Saccharomyces cerevisiae S288C: one gene and its partners. Changing the gene in region 2 together with the main gene of any one other region gives a genetic interaction. Each region holds a gene or a part of one and is shown on either strand. Other genes may lie near its edges.

Region 1 (7,791 bases), on a different chromosome or scaffold from region 2:
TGGGTTGAAAATTATTGACGATTCATTTTTGGAGTGGTATAAAGTTATTTATCTCGCAAAATATCATTTGGTTAACGATGAAATGGAAATACACACAGGCTCACACGGTAAGCAGCTTCGATACTATTTGATTGCGAAAACATTTTTGGAGTTTGATAACTATATTAATGGTGAATACTTAGCGGAACTACTGAAAACGTTTTTAATAAAACCGCAAGAGGAGTCGAAATATCAGTTATGTCAACTCTCCGTGGACTTCCAATTTTATCTGCATTACGATAATTCCGATGTGGACAATTGGTGGATGGTCTTTGCCAATTGGCTGAACCACTATAATATATTTTCTAACAATATTCGCTGGAATATTCGCATTTCTAGAATTTATCCAGAACTGTATCATACTGGCAAGGTGAAGAATTTTCAGGAGTATTTAAATCTAATCTTCAAACCACTTTTCAATGCCGAAAATTATCTACACAAGTCATTAGGACCTATTCTTTTGAAATTTCTTTCTCAAGTATCTTCGATTGATCTATGTATTCAAGATACGGACAACTATATTTGGAAAAACTTCACAGCAGTTAGTTGCTTGCCAAAAGATTGGACATCTGGCGGTGATAATCCAACCATTTCACAATATATGTATTACGTCTACGTCAACCTAACAAAATTGAACCATATCCGCCAAGCCCTTCATCAAAATACCTTCACTTTGAGAAGTTCATGTTCTCCCACCTCAATGAATCGAACTTCACAGTTTAGTAATACACTGAACTTCACAGAACATACGGAAGCTATTTTAAACAATTTCTTGCTCGCCTGTGGAGGGTTTCTAAATGCAGAAAATCTCTGGAATGCACCACCATCACTGGTGTATCTTTTCTATCTAAGTCAAATTCCCATGGTTGTGGCGCCTTTGAATTCCATAGTAGATTCAAAGCCTACAATGCTGCAAGAACAAGCCCCGACGGGGCTTGTCCTAGAGCCCTCAAAGCCTTATAAGAAGAACCCTTTCATGAAGTTTTTTGAAATGGGGTTCAAGATATCGCTGAGCTCAGAATCTATCCTCTACAACAATTCGTATACGAAAGAACCCATTATAGAAGAGTATAGTGTAGCGGCTAGTATATACCGTTTACATTCAGCAGATTTATGCGAACTTCTAAGAAACAGTGTCATAACCAGTGGATTTTCAAGTACCCTAAAGAACAAATGGCTCGGCGTTTCCTTAGCCAGCCATGACTACTTCGTGGAAAACACTGGGTTTGTAGACAAGTGGTATGATTGTAAACCAAATACAAGTTTAGAGCATAACGTTCCGATCATCAGACGTCAATATCGCAGTAGCACTCTCGCAGGGGAGTGGCGACTCATAATTGCGTGAATTCGCTCATGTTTCTTCGAGGGGCGCATATTGTGACGCTAATATTATGTACCGCCCTTCCCCACACACACAAAAAAAAAAGGTTAAGGATAAAGATAAGTAAACTAATGGAATATATAAACAAATAAGTAAGTAGATACTGTAAATAGAACACACGTTTTTTAATTTATTTTTTTTTTTACATATCTTAATTTAATATAAATCAAAAAGCCCAAGCCTCAAACAAGAGTCTTATCACTCCATTTATAACATAACAATTCGAAATCTCTAAGCTCGCTTATAGTTGACAATGACCATATTTTCTAGGTTCTCATATTTTGATAGTCTATTCTCCTTTAAAAAGCAAGAGCCTTCCCCCATTGAAATAATCTATTGCAATGAAAACAATGGTTTCATAAACATAAAATCCTTAGAAAGCCCCACTGACGATAGCATGGAGGCGGACATTTCAGATAGAGAAATGGCTACAATCCTGACTAGAAACAGAAACAATTTGGGTAAGGTTGCCATTGATAAGAAAGGCGTTAATAATCATTGCATAGATTTGAATGAGCTGAAAAAGGGCCTTGTCGCCAATGAACACAAATTGGATAACGATAACTCAACACGGCACCAGAACACATATTCACCAGAGGATTCCGTGGAATTTGATAGGTTCGATGATAAACAAAGCAGAATACTAAAGTGTAGCACTAGAAGGAGCTACTTGAGATACAAGAAATAAGACAATTGAGCTGCTTCATTATATATCTTGATATAATCACCTTTCTTATCGTCAGAAAGAGTGTTCTCTATGTTTTTGTGCTTCCATAAATATATAGTTCAAAAAGTAATATCATATACTATTAATAATAAAAGTTATACTGAATATATTGATTAGTTCTATTAATTACTATTGACACACTTTGAATTCCCTTAAATTAACCCTCAGGAAGAAGGGGTCCTTAGGAAAATTTTTCTTTTTTCAATATAAAAGCGAGGAACAATGGATGGGAACAAAACCATGTTCAGCCTTTCAACAATTGGTAGAAGAAGCCAAAAAAAAAAAAAAAACAGAAACGCCAACCATGCACTTTTCTTTGAAGCAATTGGCTGTCGCTGCGTTTTACGCTACCAATTTAGGCTCTGCCTATGTCATTCCTCAATTCTTCCAGGAAGCCTTTCAACAAGAAGAGCCAATTGAGAATTATCTTCCGCAATTAAACGACGATGATAGCTCTGCCGTTGCTGCCAACATTCCGAAGCCACATATTCCTTACTTCATGAAACCACATGTAGAAAGTGAAAAATTGCAAGATAAAATCAAAGTTGACGATTTGAATGCTACTGCTTGGGACCTCTACCGTTTAGCTAACTATTCTACTCCTGACTACGGTCACCCTACCCGTGTGATCGGGTCCAAGGGTCATAACAAGACTATGGAATACATATTGAATGTTTTCGATGACATGCAGGACTACTATGATGTTTCTTTGCAAGAGTTCGAAGCTTTATCCGGTAAGATCATCTCTTTCAACCTCTCTGACGCCGAAACCGGTAAAAGCTTTGCTAACACTACAGCTTTCGCACTTTCTCCACCTGTGGACGGGTTCGTAGGTAAGCTAGTCGAAATTCCTAACTTGGGATGTGAAGAGAAGGATTACGCCTCTGTAGTCCCACCAAGACACAACGAAAAGCAAATTGCCCTTATCGAAAGAGGTAAGTGTCCTTTTGGCGATAAGAGTAATTTGGCCGGTAAGTTCGGTTTCACCGCTGTGGTCATTTACGACAACGAACCTAAATCTAAAGAAGGACTACACGGTACATTAGGCGAACCTACCAAGCACACTGTCGCCACCGTCGGTGTTCCATATAAAGTTGGTAAAAAATTGATTGCCAATATTGCATTGAACATCGATTATTCATTATATTTTGCCATGGACTCTTATGTAGAATTTATCAAGACCCAGAACATCATTGCCGACACAAAACACGGTGATCCTGATAATATTGTTGCCCTTGGTGCTCATTCAGACTCTGTTGAGGAGGGCCCAGGTATCAACGACGATGGTTCCGGTACTATTTCCCTATTGAACGTCGCTAAGCAATTGACCCATTTCAAGATCAATAACAAGGTCCGTTTTGCATGGTGGGCTGCTGAAGAAGAAGGTTTGCTAGGCTCTAACTTCTACGCTTATAACTTGACCAAAGAAGAAAACTCCAAGATCAGAGTATTTATGGACTATGACATGATGGCTTCTCCAAACTATGAATACGAAATTTATGATGCGAACAACAAGGAGAACCCTAAGGGGTCTGAAGAGTTGAAAAACCTGTACGTAGACTACTACAAGGCTCATCACTTGAACTACACTTTGGTCCCATTTGACGGTAGATCCGATTATGTCGGGTTTATCAACAACGGAATTCCAGCCGGTGGTATTGCCACTGGTGCCGAAAAGAATAACGTCAACAACGGAAAGGTCTTAGACAGATGCTACCATCAATTATGTGATGATGTCTCTAACTTATCCTGGGACGCATTCATTACCAACACCAAGTTGATTGCTCACTCTGTGGCCACCTATGCTGACTCTTTCGAGGGTTTCCCAAAAAGAGAAACCCAAAAGCACAAAGAGGTGGACATATTGAATGCTCAACAACCACAATTTAAGTACAGGGCCGACTTCTTGATTATTTAAGTGTACTGTTCACATCAAGTATTTCTGTATAATTATCTAAAAGAAAATAAAAACCCTCTTTTTTTTAACTGCACGTGCATCAAGGGGATCACAGCCTCCTTATCAAAGTGAAAAAAAGGTAGAAAAAAAAACTGAAATTGTGATATAAAAGTTTAAACAGGAAATTATTGTAAATTGAACAATATGTGTGAAGCCCGTTTTTGGTTTGTTATTCCCAACTAACCATACCCTCATAGATTACTCTGCATTTCTACTATATGGTTGAAACATTTAGTTTTGCTCATTTGGCTTATTTGGTCTTTGAGTCCGTTTTACAGGTAGTCATTATCGCACTCGCTGGTTTTTGGAGCGCTAGTTCTGGTCTGCTGCCCAAACAAAGTCAAAAAATCATTTCTCTGTTGAACGTGGACCTTTTTACACCATGTCTTATTTTTAGTAAGTTGGCCAAATCCCTGTCCATGGCCAAAATCTTTGAAATAGCCATCATTCCTATTTTTTTTGGTTTGACTACTGGTATTTCATTTATTTCCGGAAAGATAATGAGCCGTATCCTAGACTTGGATAAAGATGAAACTAATTTTGTGGTGGCAAACTCTGTCTTTGGTAACAGTAACTCTCTACCTGTGTCCTTGACATTATCTTTGGCTTACACTCTGCCCAACTTAACTTGGGACCAAATTCCTAATGATAACAGAGATAACGTTGCATCAAGGGGTATTTTATACTTGCTGATCTTTCAACAAATCGGACAAATGCTGAGGTGGAGCTGGGGTTACAATAAGCTAATGAAGTGGTCTGGAGAGAACACTCAGCATATGCCACCTTCTCAAGTGCAATCTTTGTTGGAAAGGACGCCCAACATTGATAACGAGGAACTTGTCAATGAGGAACAAGAGGAACAAGAATTGCTTGAAGAAGAAAATAACAGAATGAACTCATCTTTTTTGAGTTCGAGTTCCATCGGTGATAAGATTTGGCAAAAATCATGCACTGTATTTGAGAGAATCAGAGCGAACCTTAATCCTCCGTTATATTCCATGATTTTTGCTGTTGTTGTGGCAGCAATTGGTCCGTTGCAGAGAGAGCTATTTATGGAAGATGGGTTTATCAATAACACATTTGCCGAGGCTGTTACGCAGCTGGGTTCAGTTTCTATCCCACTGATCCTGGTTGTCCTCGGTTCTAACTTATATCCTTCTGCGGAAGTCTTCCCTAAGACGGTTCACCATAGCAAGTTATTGATCGGCTCCATCATCGGAAGAATGATTTTACCTTCTTGCTTCCTTTTGCCTATTATTGCTATTGCTGTTAAGTACATAAACGTGAGTATTTTGGACGATCCAATTTTCCTTGTTGTCGGTTTTCTTTTGACTGTTTCCCCTCCTGCCATTCAATTAACTCAAATCACTCAACTGAATGAATTTTTCGAGGCAGAAATGGCCGATATTCTATTTTGGGGGTACGCTGTCTTAAGTTTGCCTGTAAGTATTATTGTTGTCTCAGGTGCAATTTACGTTTTACAGTGGGCTAACCCAACTTAATACAACTTTTCATTCCTTTGTATAGAGTCTTCATGAATGAAAGTCTTATTCATTTTTTTTTTTTTTTAGCATAGTTTTATATTCCTTTTTTATTCCAAGACTTATATTCTCATTATATTCTATTTAGTTTCGCATGGAATTTCAAGTACACATATAACTACAGCCTTACTTGAAAATTGCCTGTCTGGGTCTTATACTTTGCACCCTTGTACAGCTTTGTATTTTTGCCAATTGTTAATCCAGATACAATATCGATGGCTTCTACATAGATTCCACTGGCCGATTGTCCTATGTAAGAATATTCTAAGGAGACTGTTTGTAAATCAACTTTTTTTGTAAAATTTGGCCCAGTATTTTCATACTCAATACAGCCACGTAGTACAGGTACCGTTCCAGTGGCAGTTGATTTATCAAAAATCCATTGTCCTTGACCCATGATAATGCTATTTTCAAAACGGCCATGAGTATTGCGCAATATTTTTATCTTATATGCTATTTCATTTGGATCAGCATTCTCAACATTGAACTGTAAATCTATTTTTAGGTCATCAACTTGTGAAACTTTTTTGAAATTTTCAATATTTAAGGATAACTCAAATTCATCAGAATCTTTACCCAATCCATTTTGGAAGTGTAAAGACATCAAGCCAATAGAATTCATCCTTACTCCGGATTGCTTTACTTGAGAACTTAAATCGACGGAATACTCCAGCAATCTGAACTTCCCATCTGGTGGTATAAACGTTATATTAGAGGGAGAAAACACACCATCATTGATTTCAACACAGTCATGCAAACTGGGTATACCTATATCATTTCCCATAGTGTTTAATTTTACTGCAACTAGAGGATTATCATTCAAATAAGATCTCACGTCCACTATTCCATGGATACTTCCAGTGAGCAACCTTAGATGTGATTTTTTCTTTTCAAATACAACATGGAATGTTTCTAACAAATCCACATAAAGCTCATTATTCTCATGTTTGCTAGCCCTTGAAGTTCTCCAGGGAACAATCTCTTCATTTTCGATTAGTGAATTACTACCACGAGAAATCTGATTTTGTTGTAGCTGCTGTTGCCTTTGTTGTGGGAGTTGCACAGCCTGCTGTAAATTATGGGCTGTAGAACTTATGAACTTCGATAAATCCGATCTTTCAGGAACAGCTTCTTTAATTTTATTAACATAGAGCATATCACTCACATTTGGTTCACCCGCTTCGACGCAACAGTTAAAAATCAAACTGATTCTATCATAATTATTAACAATTTTCTTGATACTTAATTTATCCTTGTCAAAATATTCTAACAGGATACGATCTATAGTCTCTAAAAAGGTAAAACAATCAAGCGGGCCTTTTGACTTCGAAGTGGAGGCTAAGCACCAATAATTGAGCTTATTTATAACTGAGAAATACTTATAGACCTCTAAATCTCTTCCAACCATTGAATGGTCTAAATAATCATCACTACTGCTATCTTCGAGCAATTGAGGACATGTGGACTGAACGCGGGTCCACAGGTGCTTGAAGGAGGGAGCTGTTGCACCTAAAAGATACTGGAAAATAAGTTTGTTCTTTGTATCAGTGATATAGAATGACAAATACATCTATTTTGGTTGGGTTGGTAAGGTTTACAGCCTCTGTTGTTGCCCAAGTCCTGTTATCGCCAACTTTAAATAAATCTCTTCTTGTTCTTTGACCAAAAATTTCATTTTTCGTCGCATTTAAAAGAAACTGAAATTTCAAACATAAACACCAAAACAAAGCATCATCAAGGGAACATATAGTAAAGAACTACACAAAAGCAACAATGAATAATCAGCCGCAGGGTACCAACAGCGTTCCAAATAGTATTGGAAATATATTTAGCAACATTGGAACTCCATCTTTTAACATGGCGCAAATTCCGCAACAGCTGTATCAGAGCCTCACACCACAACAATTGCAGATGATTCAGCAACGACACCAACAGTTACTGAGGAGTCGTCTACAACAACAACAACAACAACAACAACAAACTTCACCGCCACCGCAAACGCATCAATCTCCACCCCCTCCTCCGCAACAATCTCAACCCATTGCTAATCAATCAGCGACTTCTACCCCTCCTCCTCCTCCAGCACCACACAACTTACATCCCCAAATTGGTCAAGTGCCCTTAGCTCCAGCGCCTATTAATTTGC
Region 2 (7,791 bases):
TTAATAGCTTCACACTACTCCCACAAGGATTCCTAATTCACGTGCAACAGCAACCGGATCTTTTTGAAAATGCTTTCGAATTGGTTGGGACCCAGTTTCGTAGAATCCTCTTTCATCAATCTAATCAGAGAAACGAACCCAACGAGTGTTAATAGATTGATAGCTGTGGACCATTTTTTCCTGCTAGTCATTTTTCTAACACCGAAATAACGGCAGAGCCCCGAACCTATATGATATACACCTGACTCGAGGAGAATAGCTAACGGCACCAGGCCTCCAAGCCATTTCCACCACCTGTTCTTGCTAGATAGTAATTGCTTTATAGAGGCGAAATCCACCTCAGTAGAGATGGAATTCGGCACCCATTTCATAATTAATAAGTGGTATATCAGGACGGGAACAAGGATGTATCCACTAATCACTTGTGGAGGAATGCGGAAGGTCTTATACAATCCAAATAAATAGCCAGAAATTCCACCAGTTAAACCAATCGAATCTTGGGATAGATCTTGTTCGGCCGATATCTTTAAATGTCGATGTCTATTTCTTCTTGGCTTGTTCCAGTTGTTCACGATTCGGAGCAAGACACCAGCAGAAACATGAAGAGTAATACCCGCAACTAACAGCTTGGTAGTTATGGACGGTAAAATCTCTCTCACCATCATTAAAACGTCGTCAGGAGCAGAATCAGGTGATACTGCCGGCGTGATTAATGTATTTGCTGCATGTAGTGGGAAATACAATGCCATGGGCAGTACCGAAATCTTTTGACAGTTCCAAAGGAATCTCCGACATGAACTCCTGGAAAAAGGATACGGAATGCCAAATATTTTTTTCCTCTTATCAGGATTACCATCTCCTTCGGGGCTATGTGCATTAACATCATGAGGGAGACTAGCAGGGTCTACTGGTTCTGGAGGCACTTCATGCAACTTTATCATCGTAATAAACAAAACTCTGGGCTAACTGGTATATGCCCTAGTAATTCGGGACCTGTTAGGAGCAATACAATCTACACAAGGTTTTCCTTACTTATTTTCCAATTGACGACCAACTTGCCTCACACAATTACAGAGCACGTATTCGCTCTCTAGCCACTCTTTTCAAAACAAATTTTAGTTGTGGACCTGGTTAGGATACAATCAGCGATGTCGGAAGACTGATGTAGTAGAATTGACTGGAACGCTTCTTCTATAGTCTACACGGAAGCTATACTCCCTTGAATAGATGGTAGATGTTCCGCATAAGGTTTGTCCTTTTGGTTTTTTAGCCCCGTTCGGGGTTCGAACTGCTAAGTCATATTCCGCACATATGCGTCCGCAGACTCTCATTGGATCATTCTTACCCATTCGGGTCATAATGCAAGCCTTTACCATTTATGGCACTTTGATTTCCCTTTCCATCTCACATCTTCAATTCTATTGTTTTTGAAAAAAAAAAAAAATAAAAAAAAAAAAGATTAAAGGCAATTAGTTAGCTGACGTATGGAACATCTCTGCTGTACAGCTACATTTACTTATAAGACAAGGAGCAATTAGTAGCGACGGGAGCAAGAACTAAAAAGGATAGAGGATGGCGAAAAGCAAATCCAGTCAGGGTGCGAGTGGAGCACGCCGTAAACCGGCACCTTCTTTATACCAACACATTTCTAGCTTTAAACCACAATTCAGCACAAGAGTCGACGATGTTTTACATTTTAGCAAGACACTGACATGGAGAAGTGAGATTATTCCAGACAAATCCAAGGGCACCTTGACGACTAGTCTTTTATATTCTCAAGGTAGTGATATTTACGAAATAGACACTACTTTACCATTAAAGACATTCTATGACGACGACGACGACGACGACAACGACGACGACGACGAAGAAGGTAACGGCAAGACGAAGTCTGCAGCCACCCCAAATCCAGAGTATGGTGATGCTTTCCAAGATGTTGAGGGGAAACCATTGCGCCCAAAGTGGATTTACCAGGGCGAAACAGTGGCAAAAATGCAATACTTGGAAAGCTCAGACGACAGTACGGCGATCGCGATGTCCAAGAACGGCTCTTTGGCATGGTTCAGAGATGAGATCAAGGTTCCCGTTCATATCGTACAGGAAATGATGGGCCCTGCTACTAGATACTCTAGTATTCACTCTCTAACCAGACCAGGTTCATTAGCAGTGTCAGATTTTGATGTGTCGACAAATATGGATACGGTAGTAAAGTCACAAAGTAACGGCTACGAGGAGGACAGCATCTTGAAAATCATCGACAACTCCGATAGACCGGGAGATATATTACGTACAGTGCACGTTCCAGGGACCAACGTGGCTCACTCAGTTAGATTTTTTAACAACCATTTATTTGCATCTTGTTCAGATGACAACATTTTAAGATTCTGGGACACAAGAACAGCGGACAAACCGCTTTGGACGCTAAGCGAACCGAAAAATGGACGACTAACGTCCTTCGATTCCTCTCAAGTTACTGAAAACCTATTTGTCACTGGGTTCAGCACGGGTGTCATCAAGCTATGGGATGCGCGTGCTGTGCAACTGGCTACTACTGACCTCACACATAGGCAGAACGGCGAGGAACCGATCCAAAACGAAATAGCCAAGTTGTTCCATTCTGGCGGCGATTCCGTTGTCGATATCCTGTTCTCACAAACCTCTGCAACAGAATTTGTTACGGTTGGAGGAACGGGTAATGTCTACCACTGGGACATGGAGTACTCTTTTTCAAGAAACGACGATGACAACGAAGACGAAGTTCGAGTGGCTGCTCCGGAGGAACTTCAGGGTCAATGTTTAAAATTTTTCCACACAGGTGGCACAAGAAGATCGAGCAACCAATTCGGGAAGAGGAACACTGTGGCGCTACACCCCGTAATCAATGATTTTGTTGGCACTGTTGATTCAGATAGTCTTGTTACTGCCTACAAACCATTTCTGGCCAGTGACTTCATTGGCAGAGGTTACGACGATTAAAAAAAAAAAAGAGTAAGAAATTAACGTTACCACCTATGGGAAAGGCAGTAACTCACAAGCATTCACGTACATAATTCTGTTTTTTTTTTTTTTATTCATTTCTAGCACGCTATCGGGGTTATTTTTTTTTTTGTAATATATAGTGATGGTATAATGTTGTATAGATACTGGTATCGCTCCTAATAAAGACTCTTTCAGATTTCTGAAGCCAACGAAGTAAGGCCTCAAGAAAAGAGGGTTACCAGTAATTAACCAAGCAATTTCTTTTTTTTCTTTCCAGCAAAGAAATAAGACAAAAACCGGCTATATGGAGAAGAGGGAGGATCTAATGGTGACATAGTCCATTTCAAGATTCCCTCTTTCGTTTCTCGGATGAAGCTCGATGTTTACAATTCAGAATCTTAAAAGGCTGTCGCTAAGAAAGACCCAGAGGCACATGCAAGATAGTTGTGCCTGTACCACGTGAGAAGGCGGTATTCAATATGCGGTGCTGTGCTGGCTTCCCTTTTTGGAACGCGCCGGGGTATAACAAAGAAAGGCTAAGTCATACAATAGGCAAAAGACCTTTGTCTTTCCTTTTTTTCCTCTTTCCTAACATACGGTGGTTTATGTACTATCCCTTATGTAATTGCTTAGCTATACACAGTGAGCACACATAGTGGCGCTCACTACTCCCTTTTAATTTCAACTCGTAGATAGTTGGGCTATTTTCCTTCGAATCCTCGTTTATCATCTCATATTTAAGAGTACCATTTCGGGGCTTTTTTTTACCTTTTCCTTTTCCATGCAGTCTGTCCCCTTAATGTTCTATGTTTTTTTTTTTTTTTTTTCAGTTCTGTAGCTTCCAGTATAAAGGGAGGGAAAAAAGAAGATCCGAAAAGTTTATATTCGCCTGAATTGTAGATATTAGATAAGAAAATTAATTATTAATCAACCAATCTTGAAAGATACAAATAAATTGTAACACACTATACATTACAACCAAAAATGCCAAAAAAGGTTTGGAAATCATCTACGCCTTCCACTTATGAACATATCTCCAGCTTAAGACCAAAATTTGTGTCTCGTGTGGACAATGTTCTGCACCAAAGGAAGTCCTTGACGTTCAGCAACGTTGTTGTTCCAGATAAAAAAAATAACACTCTAACCTCAAGTGTTATATACTCTCAAGGTAGTGATATCTACGAAATTGACTTCGCTGTACCACTACAAGAAGCCGCTTCAGAACCGGTGAAAGACTATGGTGACGCCTTTGAAGGTATTGAAAACACCTCGTTGAGCCCAAAATTCGTGTACCAGGGTGAAACTGTCTCCAAAATGGCCTACTTAGATAAGACTGGAGAAACTACATTATTGTCGATGTCTAAGAACGGGTCGTTGGCTTGGTTCAAAGAGGGTATAAAGGTCCCTATTCACATTGTACAGGAATTGATGGGTCCAGCAACCAGCTATGCCAGCATCCATTCTTTAACCAGACCTGGTGATCTACCTGAAAAGGATTTCTCATTAGCCATCTCTGACTTCGGCATTTCCAATGATACCGAAACCATTGTGAAGTCTCAGAGTAATGGTGATGAAGAAGACAGTATTTTGAAAATCATTGACAATGCCGGTAAGCCTGGTGAGATTCTACGTACTGTTCATGTGCCTGGTACCACTGTGACTCACACCGTAAGATTTTTCGACAATCATATCTTTGCGTCTTGTTCAGATGACAATATTCTGAGGTTCTGGGACACTAGAACTTCCGACAAGCCTATATGGGTGTTGGGAGAACCAAAGAACGGAAAATTGACCTCGTTTGATTGCTCTCAGGTTTCCAACAACTTGTTTGTTACCGGTTTCAGTACGGGTATTATCAAGTTATGGGATGCCAGAGCGGCTGAAGCTGCCACCACTGATTTGACTTATAGACAAAACGGTGAAGATCCAATTCAGAATGAAATCGCTAACTTCTATCATGCCGGCGGTGATTCTGTTGTCGACGTCCAATTTTCTGCCACTTCAAGCTCTGAATTCTTTACTGTGGGCGGCACTGGTAATATTTACCACTGGAACACTGACTATTCCTTGTCAAAGTACAATCCTGACGATACCATTGCTCCTCCTCAAGATGCCACTGAAGAATCACAAACAAAATCTCTGAGATTCTTGCACAAGGGTGGAAGCAGAAGATCTCCAAAACAGATTGGAAGAAGAAACACCGCCGCTTGGCATCCAGTTATTGAAAACTTGGTTGGTACTGTCGATGACGATAGTTTAGTCAGCATCTACAAGCCCTATACCGAGGAAAGCGAATAGTCGCCATGCTAAACGCGCGGAACAAGGCCATATTTATATATTTAATGCTTTTAACTATTATTAGTTTTTCTCACCCAGGGCTGGTTTCTTTACCCTGTGTGATGAAAGTGCGCGCCTAAAGTTATGTATGAGCTACTGTTAGTATATTTATTATTCAATATTTAATTAAACAATACTTACTACTGATGAAAGATACCGTACACCTGCTGGCGAATAAGTCACTATACACGAGCAATTATATTTCTCAGGTCATTGCGACAATTGAAAAATCGGATCGACTGATTATCATTAAGGCGTGTGACGGCTCAGAATAAGGAAGTTCTATTTTAAAGGGCAGCAAAAATTTGGCACAATTTAAAAAGAAAGTTGGTCTCTGGTAGGGTTGGATCCGGTTTTTCATAACTTGCGTTTCATTTATGGTTGCGTATTTCTCGCAGTGTACATAGACCAAATTAACTCTATCCTTCCATTGCACAATTTGCCCAGTATGGCTTCACTGTTCAGACCCCCAGAATCTGCGAAATGCAACCCAAACTCTCCTAGACTTAAACTGCCCCTCTTACGAAATAATCAGGTAGATGAAAATAATATATACTTGACGTCGAATGGGAGTTCCACCACAGCTTACAGTAGCCACACCCCAGAACCACTGACCTCTTCCACATCGACACTTTTCTCCCAAACTCGACTTCATCCTAGCGACTCTTCAATGACTTTAAATACAATGAAGAAGAGGCCTGCACCGCCATCTTTACCTTCGCTCAGCATAAATTCACAGTCTAAGTGCAAAACACTACCCGAACTCGTACCCATCGCCGATGTGTCTGATGGTAAACATGATTTAGGATTGAAACAGCGTGTGATAGCCGAAAATGAGTTGTCTGGTAATAGTGACTTAACCCCTTCATCGATGGCAAGCCCCTTTTCACATACAAACACCTCTTCTCCCTACCTCAGAAATGATCTGAGCAATTCAGTGGGATCTGACTTTTCAAATTTGATATCGGCATATGAACAAAGTTCAAGTCCCATCAAGTCATCGTCCCAGCCTAAATCATCTTCTGAATCGTACATAGACTTAAACAGTGTACGAGATGTTGATCAATTGGATGAAAATGGTTGGAAATATGCAAATTTAAAAGATAGGATCGAGACATTAGGCATTCTAGGAGAAGGAGCCGGTGGCTCTGTTTCCAAGTGTAAATTGAAAAATGGATCAAAAATATTCGCTTTAAAAGTGATAAACACATTAAATACAGATCCCGAGTATCAGAAGCAAATATTCAGAGAATTACAGTTTAATAGGAGTTTCCAATCCGAATATATCGTACGATATTATGGAATGTTTACGGATGACGAAAACTCTTCAATTTATATTGCTATGGAGTACATGGGTGGGCGATCGTTGGATGCTATTTATAAAAATTTGTTAGAGCGTGGTGGTAGGATCAGTGAAAAAGTCCTGGGGAAGATTGCAGAAGCGGTACTAAGAGGACTATCATATTTGCATGAAAAAAAAGTTATTCATAGAGATATTAAGCCCCAGAATATTTTACTGAATGAAAATGGTCAGGTGAAACTTTGTGATTTTGGGGTCAGTGGAGAAGCCGTTAACTCGCTAGCCACAACATTCACGGGGACGTCATTCTATATGGCTCCAGAAAGGATTCAAGGTCAACCATACAGTGTCACATCTGATGTATGGTCACTTGGATTAACGATTTTGGAAGTGGCGAACGGGAAATTTCCATGCTCTTCCGAGAAGATGGCAGCCAATATAGCTCCCTTTGAATTGTTAATGTGGATTTTAACATTTACTCCTGAATTAAAGGATGAACCCGAATCTAATATCATATGGAGTCCATCATTCAAATCCTTTATCGACTACTGTCTGAAAAAAGATAGTCGTGAACGGCCATCTCCAAGACAAATGATCAATCATCCTTGGATAAAGGGTCAAATGAAAAAAAATGTCAATATGGAAAAATTCGTGAGGAAGTGCTGGAAAGATTAATCAATAAGCAATTTTTTGCGAACATGATTAAGTTTATTTTACTTTATTTCGCATTTTCCATAAAAAAATTTTCCTCCATACAAGATTCATACCCAGGATAGCCTAACTAAAATGTATGGCTTTATACAGCTTGACGACAAACTTAATTTGAATATATAGATATATTAATTTAATCAGCAGGATTAGCATTTAATGTCTTACATGTCTTTGTATTTGGCATACGTATTCAGTGATATTTTAATACCTCGCAACGCAATTTCCAGCGAGTTTACGTTTGAAGCAAACGTAACTCCCATGAGTTATACATAACGCCTGCTGCAGCTGAACCAGAACAATATACCGTGGTATTACCGTAAGCATTTGAAAACAATAATAAGTTTCCAAGTGCCGCTTTAGATCCAAAGTACAAGGACATATTGTGGAAGAGTAAGTTGAATATTTGAAAATGAGAGCTTTTTCAGCAGCCACCGTTAGGGCCACAACTAGGAAGTCGTTCATCC
Region 3 (7,970 bases), 670 kb from region 2:
ACCGAACGGGATTTGCATGGCTGGCTTGATGCCATTTTTGCCAAATGTCCTCTCCTTAGTGGTGTTTCATCACCAACAAATTTTACACACAAAGTACACGTTGGGTTCGACCCAAAAGTGGGAAACTTTGTTGGAGTACCTGATAGTTGGGCTAAACTACTACAAACCTCAGAAATTACGTACGACGATTGGAACAGAAACTCAAAAGCTGTTATTAAAGCACTGCAATTTTATGAAGATTACAATGGACTGGACACAATGCAATTCAATGATCACCTCAACACAAGCTTAGACTTGAAACCTTTAAAAAGTCCGACAAGGTATATTATAAACAAGAGGACTAATTCCATCAAGAGATCAGTAAGTAGGACGCTCCGAAAAGGCAAAACAGATTCCATTTTACCCGTCTATCAATCAGAACTTAAACCATTCCCAAGGCCTAGTGATGATGATTATAAGTTTACCAACATAGAGGACAATAAAGTACGCGAAGAAGGCAGGGTGCATGTTAGTAAAGAAAGCACGGCAGATTCCCAGACAAAGCAGTTAGGAAAGAAGGAACAGAAAGTCATTCAAAGCCATCTGCGAAGGCATGATAATAATTCAACATTTAGACCTCATCGACTAGCACCATCTGCACCTGCTACAAAAAATCATGATAGTAAAACTAAATGGCATAAGGAGGATCTCCTTGAACTTAAGAATAATGATGATTCGAATGAAATAATAATGAAGATGAAAACTGTTGCAATTGATGTAAACCCAAGACCGTATTTCCAACTGGTAGAAAAGGCTGGTCAAGGAGCAAGTGGTGCAGTATACCTGTCAAAGCGAATAAAATTACCTCAAGAAAATGACCCGAGATTCTTGAAATCACATTGCCACCGAGTCGTAGGCGAAAGAGTGGCCATTAAGCAGATACGTTTATCTGAACAACCAAAGAAACAATTGATTATGAATGAACTCCTAGTGATGAATGATTCGCGCCAAGAAAATATCGTTAATTTCCTTGAAGCCTATATTATTGATGACGAAGAGTTATGGGTGATAATGGAGTACATGGAAGGTGGCTGCTTAACAGATATATTGGATGCTGTAGCAAGGAGCAATACCGGTGAGCACTCATCGCCGTTAAACGAAAACCAAATGGCATATATAGTAAAAGAGACGTGCCAAGGTTTGAAGTTTTTGCATAACAAGAAAATTATCCATCGAGATATCAAATCTGATAATATCCTTCTGAATTCCCAAGGGTTAGTGAAAATTACAGACTTCGGTTTTTGTGTGGAATTAACAGAAAAAAGAAGCAAGCGTGCCACAATGGTAGGTACTCCATATTGGATGGCACCTGAAATAGTGAATCAAAAGGGATATGATGAAAAAGTCGACGTTTGGTCTCTAGGGATAATGCTTATTGAGATGATAGAAGGTGAACCGCCTTACCTAAATGAGGATCCTTTGAAGGCGCTGTATCTGATAGCTAACAACGGTTCACCAAAATTGCGTCATCCAGAGTCAGTGTCCAAGCAAACCAAACAATTCTTAGATGCCTGTTTGCAAGTGAATGTCGAATCAAGAGCATCCGTGAGAAAACTACTAACGTTTGAATTTTTGTCAATGGCATGCAGCCCTGAGCAGCTCAAAGTATCCTTAAAGTGGCATTGAAATTTAGCTTTTTTTTATTTAGGAGAAACAATATATATATATATGTATATACGTATGTATGATTCATATTTTAATCGCATTTTTATTTCATCTAAAACAATTACTCTTTTTGATTATTTATAGAAAAAAAACAACAATGATACGTTTGCTTCGCGTTATGTCAATAGAAAATGTAAAAGGAAAAAGAATGTGTTGCTATTCGTTAGGCGGATTTACGGATGGAAGACATATCTATGAACTGAGCTTACAAACGCTTTTAGCGGGGACAGTTAATCATTTTACGGATGATTTTATAAGAATAAACTATTTTTGAAAAGTTAGGATAGTATTTTGTACATTTGGCACCGAAGTAATTCAAAATCGAGGAAGACTCGCACACTTTTACAATCACAGAAGGCAAAACCCGGCATGACAGGATGATAATGTCATCAACTATGTCGACAGAAGCCGCCTTGGTACCGAACGAAAGTGTTTTTGACACAGTTTCGTCATTCAACGAAGACGATGCCAATTATAGCGTTCTTGATTTATACGATGACGACGATGAAGGGGATGATAGTTCTACAGTAGAACGAAAAGAAATATTGACAACACGTGAGCTTGAAAAAGCAAAGGCGTTTACCAGCTTAATCATGGCAGATCCTGAGAATTTTGATAGATATGGATTTAGCAAGAAAGGATATTTCATTAGTCAGGAAGAATACGACAAATGGTGGACAGAATATAATAGATACACCGAAAGAAGAAAAAAAAAGTGGGAGAACTTTCTTCTTAAGAATAAGATTGAGCTCCACAATGATAATCCTCTAGTATATCCTGCAAGGACAGATGAATTGTCAAAATTTGTTAGAAAAGGTATACCAGCAGAATGGAGAGGGAATGCCTGGTGGTATTTTGCTGGTGGACAACGACAATTAGACGCAAATGTTGGCGTTTATGATAGACTGAAAAGTGACTGTCGCGAGGGTGCCGTATCTGGTAAAGATATGGAAGCTATAGAACGGGATCTTTATCGAACGTTTCCCGATAATATACATTTCCATAAGGAGTCCTTCCAAAATGGAGAGCCGGCGATCATCCGATCATTGCGTCGAGTATTAATGGCCTTTTCTGTTTATGACAAGACTATTGGATACTGCCAATCGATGAATTTTCTCGTTGGATTGCTATTATTGTTCATGGAAGAAGAGAAAGCATTTTGGATGCTGGTTATTATTACCGGTAAGTATTTACCTGGCGTGTATGAATCAGACTTAGAGGGTGCGAACGTGGATCAAGGGGTGTTGGTGTTATGTATCAAGGAATATTTACCCGAGATATGGTCACACATTGAGTCATCGTATATGAATGGCAATGGCAGCACTGACCAGATATCAGGGCCAGCATCGGGGGAAGAATATCTCTGCAGGCTGCCTACGCTGACGCTGTGTACGGCAAGTTGGTTTATGAGCTGTTTTGTGGGCGTGGTGCCCATCGAAACGACCCTGAGAATATGGGACTGTTTATTCTATGAAGAGTCTCATTTTTTATTTAAAGTGGCTTTGGGGATACTGAAATTGAGCGAAAGCGAGTTTTTGGAGAGTAAAAGCCAGAAACTGTTTAGACAGTACTCTTCGTACACCTTCGGTGGTAGTAATGACTCTGATTCAACTTTCAAAAGATTAAAGAACAAGATTAAGACGCAGGAAGAGGCAGATATGGAGATTTTGCAAGTGATTCAAAATTTCCCAAAAAGATTGCTCAATCCGAATGATATCTTTGAGAAAGTCCTGATGAAGAAGAAGGTTGCGTTGAATGGTATTACCCAGGAAAAGATTGATCGCGGTAGAGAGTATGTGGCGATGGCGAGAAATAGACAAAGGGCGAGTAGCCGCCCAAAGGAAAGAAGAAAATAGTAAGCGCAACCGTGATAAAAAGCGCAACTGTGTAAAATAACAAGTATGTACGTACTAACTATACTAATCTTATTTGGCCAGAGACCAGCCTTTTTGTAGACGCTCCATGACTTGCCTAACCGCAGCCTGATCGTTCTCGAAATTGTTCTTCAGAAGAGCCTCGATATCATCCCAGGGCACAGTGAGTTCCTGTGGAGGAGCAGGAGCAGGGGAGTTAGTGGATTTCTCGGCTTCGGGTTCCTTAGATATAGTCGGATTCGGCTTAATCATGACTGTGATTGTGGAATTGGCAGGCGTGACCTTCAAATCCGATAAGAACAGGTTATCGTGGAGGACTTTGCCCTTCAAAAGCAGTTTTATCTCGCTTATGTGGGAGGCCTTTTCCTCGCTGATCAAGTGCTGTTTTATTTGTAAGATAGTATCTGATGGGCTGAAATCATGCTCGATGGAGAACTTGGGAGCTTGAATTTTCTTTAAGGTTAAGTGGACGGCGGCGTTGTCTTGACCTTGCTGATCTTGGTGCAGTTTTAACTTCTTGGCACGATTCTGCTTATATTTATACTTCAAAGTAGGCAACGGGACACCCAAATTGGTAACATCCTTCAGAGGTTTAGTATAGCTTTTTGGTAGCTTCGGTTCAGTTAAAGTGGCTAAGGTCAAGAATTTACTAACGAACTCGTGTTCTGGACCGCTGGCGGATGTGCTCATGATTAATTTTGTATAAAGTTATTATTCTTCGCTAGTTTATCTCTGTATCGGTCTGTTCTAACCCTTTTCTCCAACTATGTTCTCCTGTGCATGTTTTCTTCTTTTCGTTTTTCCTTTGTTTTTTTTGGTCGTAGTTGTCGCAAGCTCGGCCTCCGGCCTGATTTTAAAACTATTCCTAATTCAAGATTCGGTAAAAAAGATATATAATAGCTAAGGGGAGGAGAGGAATAAGAGGAAAAAGTTACATTAGAGGACAATACTCAATCTAACCCTTACTAGATGTGCGATAGCCATCAAAAGGAAGAAGATAACGCAAATACGAGCGAAAGGGCGTTATTTTTTAATTACCATGAGTTTTCGTATTCATTCTACGAAGACCTCGGTTCCGAAGACGCTAAACCCACAGAGCACGACGAAGACCACAAATTGTGTATTACACATTTCCCGAATGTGTATGCTGCTCGGGGCTCTGCCGAGTTCCAGGTGACCCGGGTGGTACGAGTGCCCCGGCGGTTCGATGAGTCTCGCAGCAGCCTTGAAACGCCACAATTTAGTACACAGCTTCCCGGTAGCGAGCCGGCGGCAATCGTGGGCGACGATGGCACTAGCTTTGTGCGGTGCGGGCGTTACGACATTGGGGATCACGTGTTTGGCTGCTCCTCCGTCTCGCCTCTGTCAGAATATCTTAGTGCGGCAGAGCTCGCGGAGGTTGTGCACCGGGTAAACGGATTCTTGCTGCGTGAAGAAGGTGAGGTGTTCGGGTGGCGTAACTTAAGTGGCCTGTTGCTCGATATGCTTACGGGCGGTCTGTGGAGCTGGGTTTTGGGGCCCCTTCTTTCTAGACCTGTGTTTCAGGAGTCTCTCGCGTTAGAGCAGTACGTGGCGCAGCTAAACTCGCCGGGAGGTCTGCTTCACGAGCGCGGTGTGCGCCTAGTATTGCCCCGACGGTCCGGGTGCCTATCCCTAGATTTCGTCGTGCCCCGACCCAAATAGTTAAACGTGTGGTTTATGGGTGCACCAGGGCTTTATCGTGTTTTATATCGATGGCGATTTGTGCCTCCAGTGTATTTTTGTATATCCAATTAAGGTTTCTTACCTAATTTTATTTTTATCATCTTTAGTTAATGCTGGTTTGCTCTGTTTCTGCTGCTTTCTGTGCGGTTCTCCTCTTCTCTTGTTTCTTCGTGTTGTCCCCCATCGCCGATGGGCTTATATGGCGTATATATATAGAGCGAGTTTTTACGTCGAAGATCATCTCAGTTTGCTTGATAGCCTTTCTACTTTATTACTTTCGTTTTTAACCTCATTATACTTTAGTTTTCTTTGATCGGTTTTTTTCTCTGTATACTTAAAAGTTCAAATCAAAGAAACATACAAAACTACGTTTATATCAATTAATAATGTCTGAAATTCAAAACAAAGCTGAAACTGCCGCCCAAGATGTCCAACAAAAGTTGGAAGAAACCAAAGAATCTTTGCAAAACAAGGGCCAAGAAGTAAAGGAACAAGCTGAAGCTTCTATCGACAACCTAAAAAATGAAGCTACTCCAGAAGCTGAACAGGTGAAGAAGGAAGAACAAAACATTGCTGATGGTGTCGAACAAAAGAAGACCGAAGCTGCCAACAAAGTTGAAGAAACTAAGAAGCAAGCTTCCGCCGCCGTCAGTGAGAAGAAGGAAACCAAGAAGGAAGGCGGTTTCTTGAAGAAATTGAACCGTAAAATTGCTTCCATTTTCAACTAATCACACTTGAATGTGCTGCACTTTACTAGAAGTTTCTTTTTCTTTTTTTAAAAATAAAAAAAGAGGAGAAAAATGCTGTTTATTCTGACCTTTTACATAAATTTTTCTTAATTGTATCTATCTAATAACTAATCAATATAATAATAATAATACTAATAATAATAATAATAATAATAATAATAGTAGTAGTAGTAGTAGTAGTAATAATGATGATGATGATGATGATGGATGATCAAAAGCCACAAAAAAGAATGCTCCGAGAATAACCTCGGCGGTTATTTCACGTCCCGGAGGAAAAAAAGTTTGATAAGAAAGTAAAAATATGAGCGGTACGAGAATCGAACCCGTGTCCCCACCTTGGAAGGGTGGGATGATAACCACTACACTAACCGCCCGGGTTAATTGTTATTAGTTGGTGAAACTGATCTCAATCACTATAACATTATGGTCTCTTAATAGCAAAGGCCAACCAACTGACTTCTTGCAAACTGATGTTCAATTTTAGCTCTAAAATAAAACAATGTAAAAGAAAGATAAAATGACATAAAGCACTATCGCTTCAACGGCAAACAATATTGAAAAAGTATCACATTATAGTAAGTTGAACACTAAAAGATTAAATAAATACTTCGGCACACTTTCGATGAAGGAAAGCATTAGTAGTAACGTATATATATCATTGTTGTTGCTACTTTTCTTTGTGGGATATGCACCACTCCCCTCTGCAAAGTGAAGAAAAGGTATGGGAAGAATTTCTTCGCTTATATTACTTACTTTACCCTACTCCTTGAATCACTGACCACTCTGTCCATCACCCAGCTCCCAAATTAACTCCTTCGGTACTAAATCCCGAATGTTTCCATTTTGTTCTTGTACGGGATCGCTGCTGCTGCTGCTGCCGGTTTTTGCCTCATGCTTAGCTATGATTTGTTTTCTCAGCTTTTCATTCCTTTCATACAACCAACTTAAGTAACTCAAGCTTTTCAGGTATATGATTAGTTCTGACCGACTTTCCTGGGGTTGCAGGTCAGGTACTACTGCTACCAGTTCGTCAAATATAGCTCTTTCCAATTCTCTCCTTTTTTTTTCAGACGAAACATGATTTATACGTATTTGACCATCAGTCAATTTATTAATCTTCTTAGACCTGCGTTTCCTTTTCTTCACATTAGCCAGTTCACCCTTTATCTCCTTAATCTCGGACAATCCCGGCTGTATTGTTTGTATCTCCTTAATATCGTTCGTCATTATTGCTTTTCTCTTTTTAGTTCAAGCCGCCCTCTTAACTCCTTCGTCAAGCTTATCTTGTTGGCATTGGAATTTCGCAAACGCAATCGCGCCTCTGTCTTTAAGGTGAGAAAAACATGTGAATATTTTGTTTGATACGTAACAAGCTCATACAAACCAAGCCAAGAAAAAGAAGACGACTAATCTATTTATAACAAAGATATTTGTTCACTATAATGCAATATAGTTCGAGGTTCCTAGAATTGAATATCCCGGATTCATTTTTAAATATCAATAAGATTCCTGATGCTACTAAATTTATTACAGTCACTTATATATGCTTAACTGCAACCCTTTTCTGTATAAGGAGATCCTTGTACAACAAGCTAGTTCTTGAAGACCCTAACTTGGACTACAACTTGATTACTTCGCCGCTTTTGCAAATGGTACCTTCGCAGATTTGGAGGTACCCCACCTCATTAGTTCTATCCAACTTCATCGACACTAAAGCTTGGAAGGTGGTAGTGAACTTATTGAATTTGATCATTGGTGGATCCTTCATTGAACGCAATTGGAACTCTTCCAAAGAAATGTTCAAATTTATCATAGTTTTAGGTTCTCTTACAAACGTTCTGATCATCATGCTGACTTTGTTAGTATCTTTTTTCTCTAATAAGGTAAGGCTGGATATTCCCTTAGACGGGAACTACACAATTTTAATCGGTTTCCCTAT
Region 4 (6,878 bases), on a different chromosome or scaffold from region 2:
CAGATAAAGTAGTTCAAAGATCACAACAGAATTTTATCTTTCCAATTACCATTCAGAAAAATTTTTTATCTCTTGGAGGGTTATTTTCGGGCCTTTCAAGAATATGATAAAGATATATCTTGGCAGATGTACTGATGATTACTGGTGCGTTAGAACCGTATGGCCTTGAAAAGAATAAAAGCAAACATCGATTTTTTTGGTACTGAATTACACAATTTTTAAGGACTAAAAAAAAAAATGTTTAACCTGAACAACCATGTATCTTAGATGTCAGGGTATCTAGATTATTTCTCTACCATTCAGGACATCATCCAAAAACATCGATGGCGCCTGTCTTTTATGAGCCTTTTTAGGAGAGCTAGTATTTGAGGTAGCAGAAGCGACTGGTATGAGGCCCAAGGAGGATTGGTTTCTCTTATGGTAGCCTTCCATTGAGTTAATTTTCTTTTCCTTTCTTTCAGGTGACGCTGCTCTTTGTGGTCTATTGAGGTTCAGCTTTCTCTCTTCTTCTTCTTCTTCTTCTTCTTCTAGATAGGTACCTACGTATAAAAATGGATCGTCAATAAAAATGTTAGTGTCTTTTGATTGATGGCGGCTATGACTTTTTTCATATTGTGACACTTGTAAAGTAGGAGATATAAATAAGGATCTTCTGTTGTCTGTGAACGGATCCTGAATTGGGTTGAATGGTGAGGCAGCATCCTCGTATTGGCTAGATTCTAATTGGCTCATAGAATCCCAATCATCCTGCATATATGATTTCTCATCATTGATGTCAAAGGGATTGCTTTGTAAAGAAGAACTATGCTTGTGGTGTCCCCTGTACAAATTTTTACTATCATTTGCATAAGAATTTGTCATTGTGAAACGACGAGACAAATAACTGGACACTAACCACCATATAAGAATACTGATAAAAATGGCACCTATGACAGCACCCACAGCAATGTATACAGTTCCATTTGGTTTATCAGCAGCATTTAAAATAAATGGGTTTCCTGCTGTAGATGGGGGTGTTATACTTGCGACAATTAGTGATGAGGAGGATGTTGCTCCACTGGAAGTTGAGAAAGCCGAAGATGTTAACGATGGAAGGGACTTGGAACTCGTTTCGGACACTACACTTGACGTGGGCTTTGACAGGGCGGTTGAACTAGTTGTAGTAGTAACTAAAGTAGGAAGGTCTCTTCTGACCAGCGATACAGACGGGATAAAGTTTTTCTTAACCATCTCTGCCGATGTTTCTTTCTGAACTTTTGACAAGGTATGAGTCTAGTTGATTATAATACAAGAGTGTGGGTATGTTATTAATAAACATTATAAATTATTAACCCATATAGCTGCTAAATATAATTGAAAATCTAGTAATTTCTAATTATACATTTTTTTTTTTTACAAATGTTTTATGATATGTTTACTATTTCCCGCTTTAGGAAATCATATTAAGGGTTTCATGAAAGAATTCTGCAGAGTGATCATTGGAAATCGGCAGAAAGTGAGAAGGGAGGCTGTCACCAGGTTCCCCTATACTATTCATGTGAGTGGTAGCATGCAAAGTAAAGACCCTTTTTCATTTAGTGATTCATCCATGAATAGCTCTTGGTGCTAGCCCAGATTTTTCAGTAATTTTTGTTTTTTCTTCTGAATTTTCCAGAATTAAAAAAAAGATCAGAAAAAAGCGAGAGTTTACTTAAGATATTAAAGTCTAGTTGATATATCAACAAGTGAAGGCAAAATACCAATAGAGTGCACGTTTCTTGATGCTATGAAATACATACCCCCATTAAATTTTTCGCCAGTGGTGAGCACGGATGTATCGTTATATCGATCGGGATACCCGATGCCGTTAAATTATAGTTTCATCAAGCATCAGTTACACTTGAAGACCATAATATATATTGGCGATAAAGATAGGCCTCTCGAAGAATATCAAAGCTTCCTGGAGTCAGAAAAGATAAAATACTATCACATATTTATGGATTCAAGCCGCGATGAAGGAATTCAAGAAAGAATGAACCAGGTCTTGCACTTGGTGCTGGATGTCAGAAACTATCCCATCTTAGTGCATTCCAATAAGGGCAAGCACCGTGTTGGTGTAGTTGTGGGAATCATAAGAAAGTTGTTACAGGGATGGTCCACTGCAGGTATATGCCAAGAGTACGGGTTATTTTCTGGTGGGATGAAAGATGGAGTAGATTTGGAGTTTATCACAATGTTCGAAACCAATCTGAAAATACCGAGAAACGTTATCCCTGGCTTTGCTAAACACTGCTTGTATTTGAATGAGCTAGAGGCTGCGGAAGGAAGTGATGATGAGTCAGGAAGTGAGTCTATTCTCACTGCCAAGCAACCAATATGATTATGAGAACCAGCCGTTACAAAGAATATTTTCTGTCATTAATATATTTGTATAAATAAAACAACAAGTCTAAAGATCAAGTAGAAAAATGGAAACAAGAACGAGCACATATATGGTATATAGTGAACATATATATATTAGATATATACGTTCAAGCGTCGAAGGACAAAGACCAACCTAGCTTGTGAACAGGTTCAGACAACTTCAAAGCATCGAAAGAGGAACCGACACCCAGAGTGACGCCAGGTCTTAACAATTGCTTGTAAGCCAAAGTGACAATACCGGAATCGGACACCTTAGCCTTAACTTGGGAAGATGCATCAGGCAAATATCTAGTGGCGAATTCGATGTTGACATTGGAGTTAGGTAGTTTGCAGTTCATTGTAGCCTTAGCACCGACCTGTAAAAAGGCGTTGACGTTTTGGAAGAAGTCAACGGTAGTTATTTGCTCGTTGTTCAATGTAGCGCCCAAGGAGTAGTCTTTGGCGAAATAACTTAAAGCCATGGCATAACGAGAAATGGAACCGGCGCTGATATCGTAACCAAACTCTGCGCCACCAACAATACCTTCGTGGGCCATAGTTAAGTCACCAACAAATGTTGGTGACTTCAAACACAAGTCAAAGGCACCTCTTGCGGTGAAGAAAGGTTGTGTGAACGTAGTGTTTAAGACGGCGGACTTGGCGACGCCTGGAGTCAAAGAAGTGATCAATTCGTTCTTTAGACCAGGGGTCAAGTTGGCAAACTCTAATTTGGTTTGCAAGTTGTTTGTGTTAGACCAGCCTTGAGTTAGACCCAAGCCGGTTTGCTTGTCATTCAACTTTGCTTCCACGTTAGTAGACAGTGGACCGTCTTTGACAGGCTGTTTAGCCTTCAATGAGAACTTAATGCCATTGGCGGTTGTTGTTTGCACATCAAAGGCAGCTGGGGTAGCATGATAGAAATCCTTGTTCAATAGGTCATTGATATTTCTGGAGATATCGCTGTAAACTGGAGGAGACATTGTTGAGAGGTTGGTTTGATTTTTGCTTTGGGTACGCTTGGCTGTTTCGTGTTGGGAGAATCCGTAGCACTAATGAGTAGTGGAACGAGTTGGGGGTAGTTATATAGTAGATCAACTCGTGCTCTGCTGGCTATAAAAGGGGTTCTTTGTTGAGGAACGGCCGAAATGGCGGTGTTTGATTGGGCCGCAGCCGGCAAAAAGCACCGGAACCGTGAAAAAAGCTCGTCTGACGCGGAAACGTGCGGCAAAAAATCTCCGCGACGGGGAATTGAACCCCGATCTGGCACGCGACAAGCGCCCATTCTGACCATTAAACTTGTTGGAATAAAAATCAACTATCATCTACTAACTAGTATTTACGTTACTAGTATATTATCATATACGGTGTTAGAAGATGACGCAAATGATGAGAAATAGTCATCTAAATTAGTGGAAGCTGAAACGCAAGGATTGATAATGTAATAGGATCAATGAATATTAACATATAAAACGATGATAATAATATTTATAGAATTGTGTAGAATTACAGATTTCCTTTTATGGATTCCTAAATCCTCGAGGAGAACTTCTAGTATATTCTGTATACCTAATATTATAGCCTTTATCAACAATGGAATCCCAACAATTATCTCAACATTCACCCATTTCTCATGGTAGCGCCTGTGCTTCGGTTACTTCTAAGGAAGTCCACACAAATCAAGATCCGTTAGACGTTTCAGCTTCCAAAATTCAAGAATATGATAAGGCTTCCACTAAGGCTAACTCTCAACAGACAACAACACCTGCTTCATCAGCTGTTCCAGAGAACCCCCATCATGCCTCTCCTCAAACTGCTCAGTCACATTCACCACAGAATGGGCCGTACCCACAGCAGTGCATGATGACCCAAAACCAAGCCAATCCATCTGATTGGTCATTTTACGGACGCCCATCTATGATTCCGTATACACCTTATCAAATGTCGCCTATGTACTTTCCACCTGGGCCACATTCACAGTTTCCGCAGTATCCATCATCAGTTGGAACGCCTCTGAGCACTCCATCACCTGAGTCAGGTAATACATTTACTGATTCATCCTCAGCGGACTCTGATATGACATCCACTAAAAAATATGTCAGACCACCACCAATGTTAACCTCACCTAATGACTTTCTAAATTGGGTTAAAACATACATCAAATTTTTACAAAACTCGAATCTCGGTGGTATTATTCCGACAGTAAACGGAAAACCCGTACGTCAGATCACTGATGATGAACTCACCTTCTTGTATAACACTTTTCAAATATTTGCTCCATCTCAATTCCTACCTACCTGGGTCAAAGACATCCTATCCGTTGATTATACGGATATCATGAAAATTCTTTCCAAAAGTATTGAAAAAATGCAATCTGATACCCAAGAGGCAAACGACATTGTGACCCTGGCAAATTTGCAATATAATGGCAGTACACCTGCAGATGCATTTGAAACAAAAGTCACAAACATTATCGACAGACTGAACAATAATGGCATTCATATCAATAACAAGGTCGCATGCCAATTAATTATGAGAGGTCTATCTGGCGAATATAAATTTTTACGCTACACACGTCATCGACATCTAAATATGACAGTCGCTGAACTGTTCTTAGATATCCATGCTATTTATGAAGAACAACAGGGATCGAGAAACAGCAAACCTAATTACAGGAGAAATCCGAGTGATGAGAAGAATGATTCTCGCAGCTATACAAATACAACCAAACCCAAAGTTATAGCTCGGAATCCTCAAAAAACAAATAATTCGAAATCGAAAACAGCCAGGGCTCACAATGTATCCACATCTAATAACTCTCCCAGCACGGACAACGATTCCATCAGTAAATCAACTACTGAACCGATTCAATTGAACAATAAGCACGACCTTCATCTTAGGCCAGAAACTTACTGAATCTACAGTAAATCATACTAATCATTCTGATGATGAACTCCCTGGACACCTCCTTCTCGATTCAGGAGCATCACGAACCCTTATAAGATCTGCTCATCACATACACTCAGCATCATCTAATCCTGACATAAACGTAGTTGATGCTCAAAAAAGAAATATACCAATTAACGCTATTGGTGACCTACAATTTCACTTCCAGGACAACACCAAAACATCAATAAAGGTATTGCACACTCCTAACATAGCCTATGACTTACTCAGTTTGAATGAATTGGCTGCAGTAGATATCACAGCATGCTTTACCAAAAACGTCTTAGAACGATCTGACGGCACTGTACTTGCACCTATCGTAAAATATGGAGACTTTTACTGGGTATCTAAAAAGTACTTGCTTCCATCAAATATCTCCGTACCCACCATCAATAATGTCCATACAAGTGAAAGTACACGCAAATATCCTTATCCTTTCATTCATCGAATGCTTGCGCATGCCAATGCACAGACAATTCGATACTCACTTAAAAATAACACCATCACGTATTTTAACGAATCAGATGTCGACTGGTCTAGTGCTATTGACTATCAATGTCCTGATTGTTTAATCGGCAAAAGCACCAAACACAGACATATCAAAGGTTCACGACTAAAATACCAAAATTCATACGAACCCTTTCAATACCTACATACTGACATATTTGGTCCAGTTCACAACCTACCAAAGAGTGCACCATCCTATTTCATCTCATTTACTGATGAGACAACAAAATTCCGTTGGGTTTATCCATTACACGACCGTCGCGAGGACTCTATCCTCGATGTTTTTACTACGATACTAGCTTTTATTAAGAACCAGTTTCAGGCCAGTGTCTTGGTTATACAAATGGACCGTGGTTCTGAGTATACTAACAGAACTCTCCATAAATTCCTTGAAAAAAATGGTATAACTCCATGCTATACAACCACAGCGGATTCCCGAGCACATGGAGTCGCTGAACGGCTCAACCGTACCTTATTAGATGACTGCCGTACTCAACTGCAATGTAGTGGTTTACCGAACCATTTATGGTTCTCTGCAATCGAATTTTCTACTATTGTGAGAAATTCACTAGCTTCACCTAAAAGCAAAAAATCTGCAAGACAACATGCTGGCTTGGCAGGACTTGATATCAGTACTTTGTTACCTTTCGGTCAACCTGTTATCGTCAATGATCACAACCCTAACTCCAAAATACATCCTCGTGGCATCCCAGGCTACGCTCTACATCCGTCTCGAAACTCTTATGGATATATCATCTATCTTCCATCCTTAAAGAAGACAGTAGATACAACTAACTATGTTATTCTTCAGGGCAAGGAATCCAGATTAGATCAATTCAATTACGACGCACTCACTTTCGATGAAGACTTAAACCGTTTAACTGCTTCATATCAATCGTTCATTGCGTCAAATGAGATCCAACAATCCGATGATCTTAACTTCCAATCTGACATCGAACTACATCCTGAGCAACCGAGAAATGTCCTTTCAAAAGCTGTGAGTCCAACCGATTCCACACCTCCGTCAACTCATACTGAAGATTCGA

What was found.
Region 1: mutations in MKK1 (region 2) and YBR287W together harm fitness more than expected from each alone (negative genetic interaction), as found in Saccharomyces cerevisiae (3 studies listed by BioGRID).
Region 3: mutations in MKK1 (region 2) and MSB4 together harm fitness more than expected from each alone (negative genetic interaction), as found in Saccharomyces cerevisiae (3 studies listed by BioGRID).
Region 4: mutations in MKK1 (region 2) and OCA2 together harm fitness more than expected from each alone (negative genetic interaction), as found in Saccharomyces cerevisiae (2 studies listed by BioGRID).

What each region holds. Positions count from the first base shown.
Region 1 is NC_001134.8:772,249-780,039, forward strand, and holds YBR287W (uncharacterized protein), read left to right. Parts: upstream 1-4,322; coding exon 4,323-5,606; downstream 5,607-7,791. Other genes in the region: YBR284W (metallo-dependent hydrolase superfamily protein), read left to right, coding at 1-1,384; HAB1 (Hab1p), read left to right, coding at 1,674-2,108; APE3 (aminopeptidase Y), read left to right, coding at 2,452-4,065; APM3 (Apm3p), read right to left, coding at 5,764-7,215; SNF5 (Snf5p), read left to right, coding at 7,419-7,791.
Region 2 is NC_001147.6:766,837-774,627, forward strand, and holds MKK1 (mitogen-activated protein kinase kinase MKK1), read left to right. Parts: upstream 1-5,764; coding exon 5,765-7,291; downstream 7,292-7,791. Other genes in the region: MCP1 (Mcp1p), read right to left, coding at 33-941; WTM2 (transcriptional modulator), read left to right, coding at 1,573-2,976; WTM1 (transcriptional modulator), read left to right, coding at 3,964-5,277; mitochondrial nucleotide exchange factor MGE1, read left to right, coding at 7,737-7,791. UniProt on the Saccharomyces cerevisiae protein: Involved in a signal transduction pathway that play a role in yeast cell morphogenesis and cell growth.
Region 3 is NC_001147.6:104,629-112,598, forward strand, and holds MSB4 (Rab GTPase-activating protein MSB4), read left to right. Parts: upstream 1-2,081; coding exon 2,082-3,560; downstream 3,561-7,970. Other genes in the region: putative serine/threonine protein kinase SKM1, read left to right, coding at 1-1,665; MDY2 (Mdy2p), read right to left, coding at 3,630-4,268; SHR5 (Shr5p), read left to right, coding at 4,548-5,261; ZEO1 (Zeo1p), read left to right, coding at 5,669-6,010; INO4 (Ino4p), read right to left, coding at 6,803-7,258; YOL107W (uncharacterized protein), read left to right, coding at 7,474-7,970. UniProt on the Saccharomyces cerevisiae protein: Regulates exocytosis by functioning as a GAP for SEC4. Also required for efficient polarization of the actin patches.
Region 4 is NC_001146.8:515,484-522,361, forward strand, and holds OCA2 (Oca2p), read left to right. Parts: upstream 1-1,765; coding exon 1,766-2,359; downstream 2,360-6,878. Other genes in the region: YNL058C (uncharacterized protein), read right to left, coding at 280-1,230; porin POR1, read right to left, coding at 2,511-3,362; YNL054W-A (gag protein), read left to right, coding at 3,973-5,295. UniProt on the Saccharomyces cerevisiae protein: Required for normal growth in the presence of linoleic acid hydroperoxide (LoaOOH).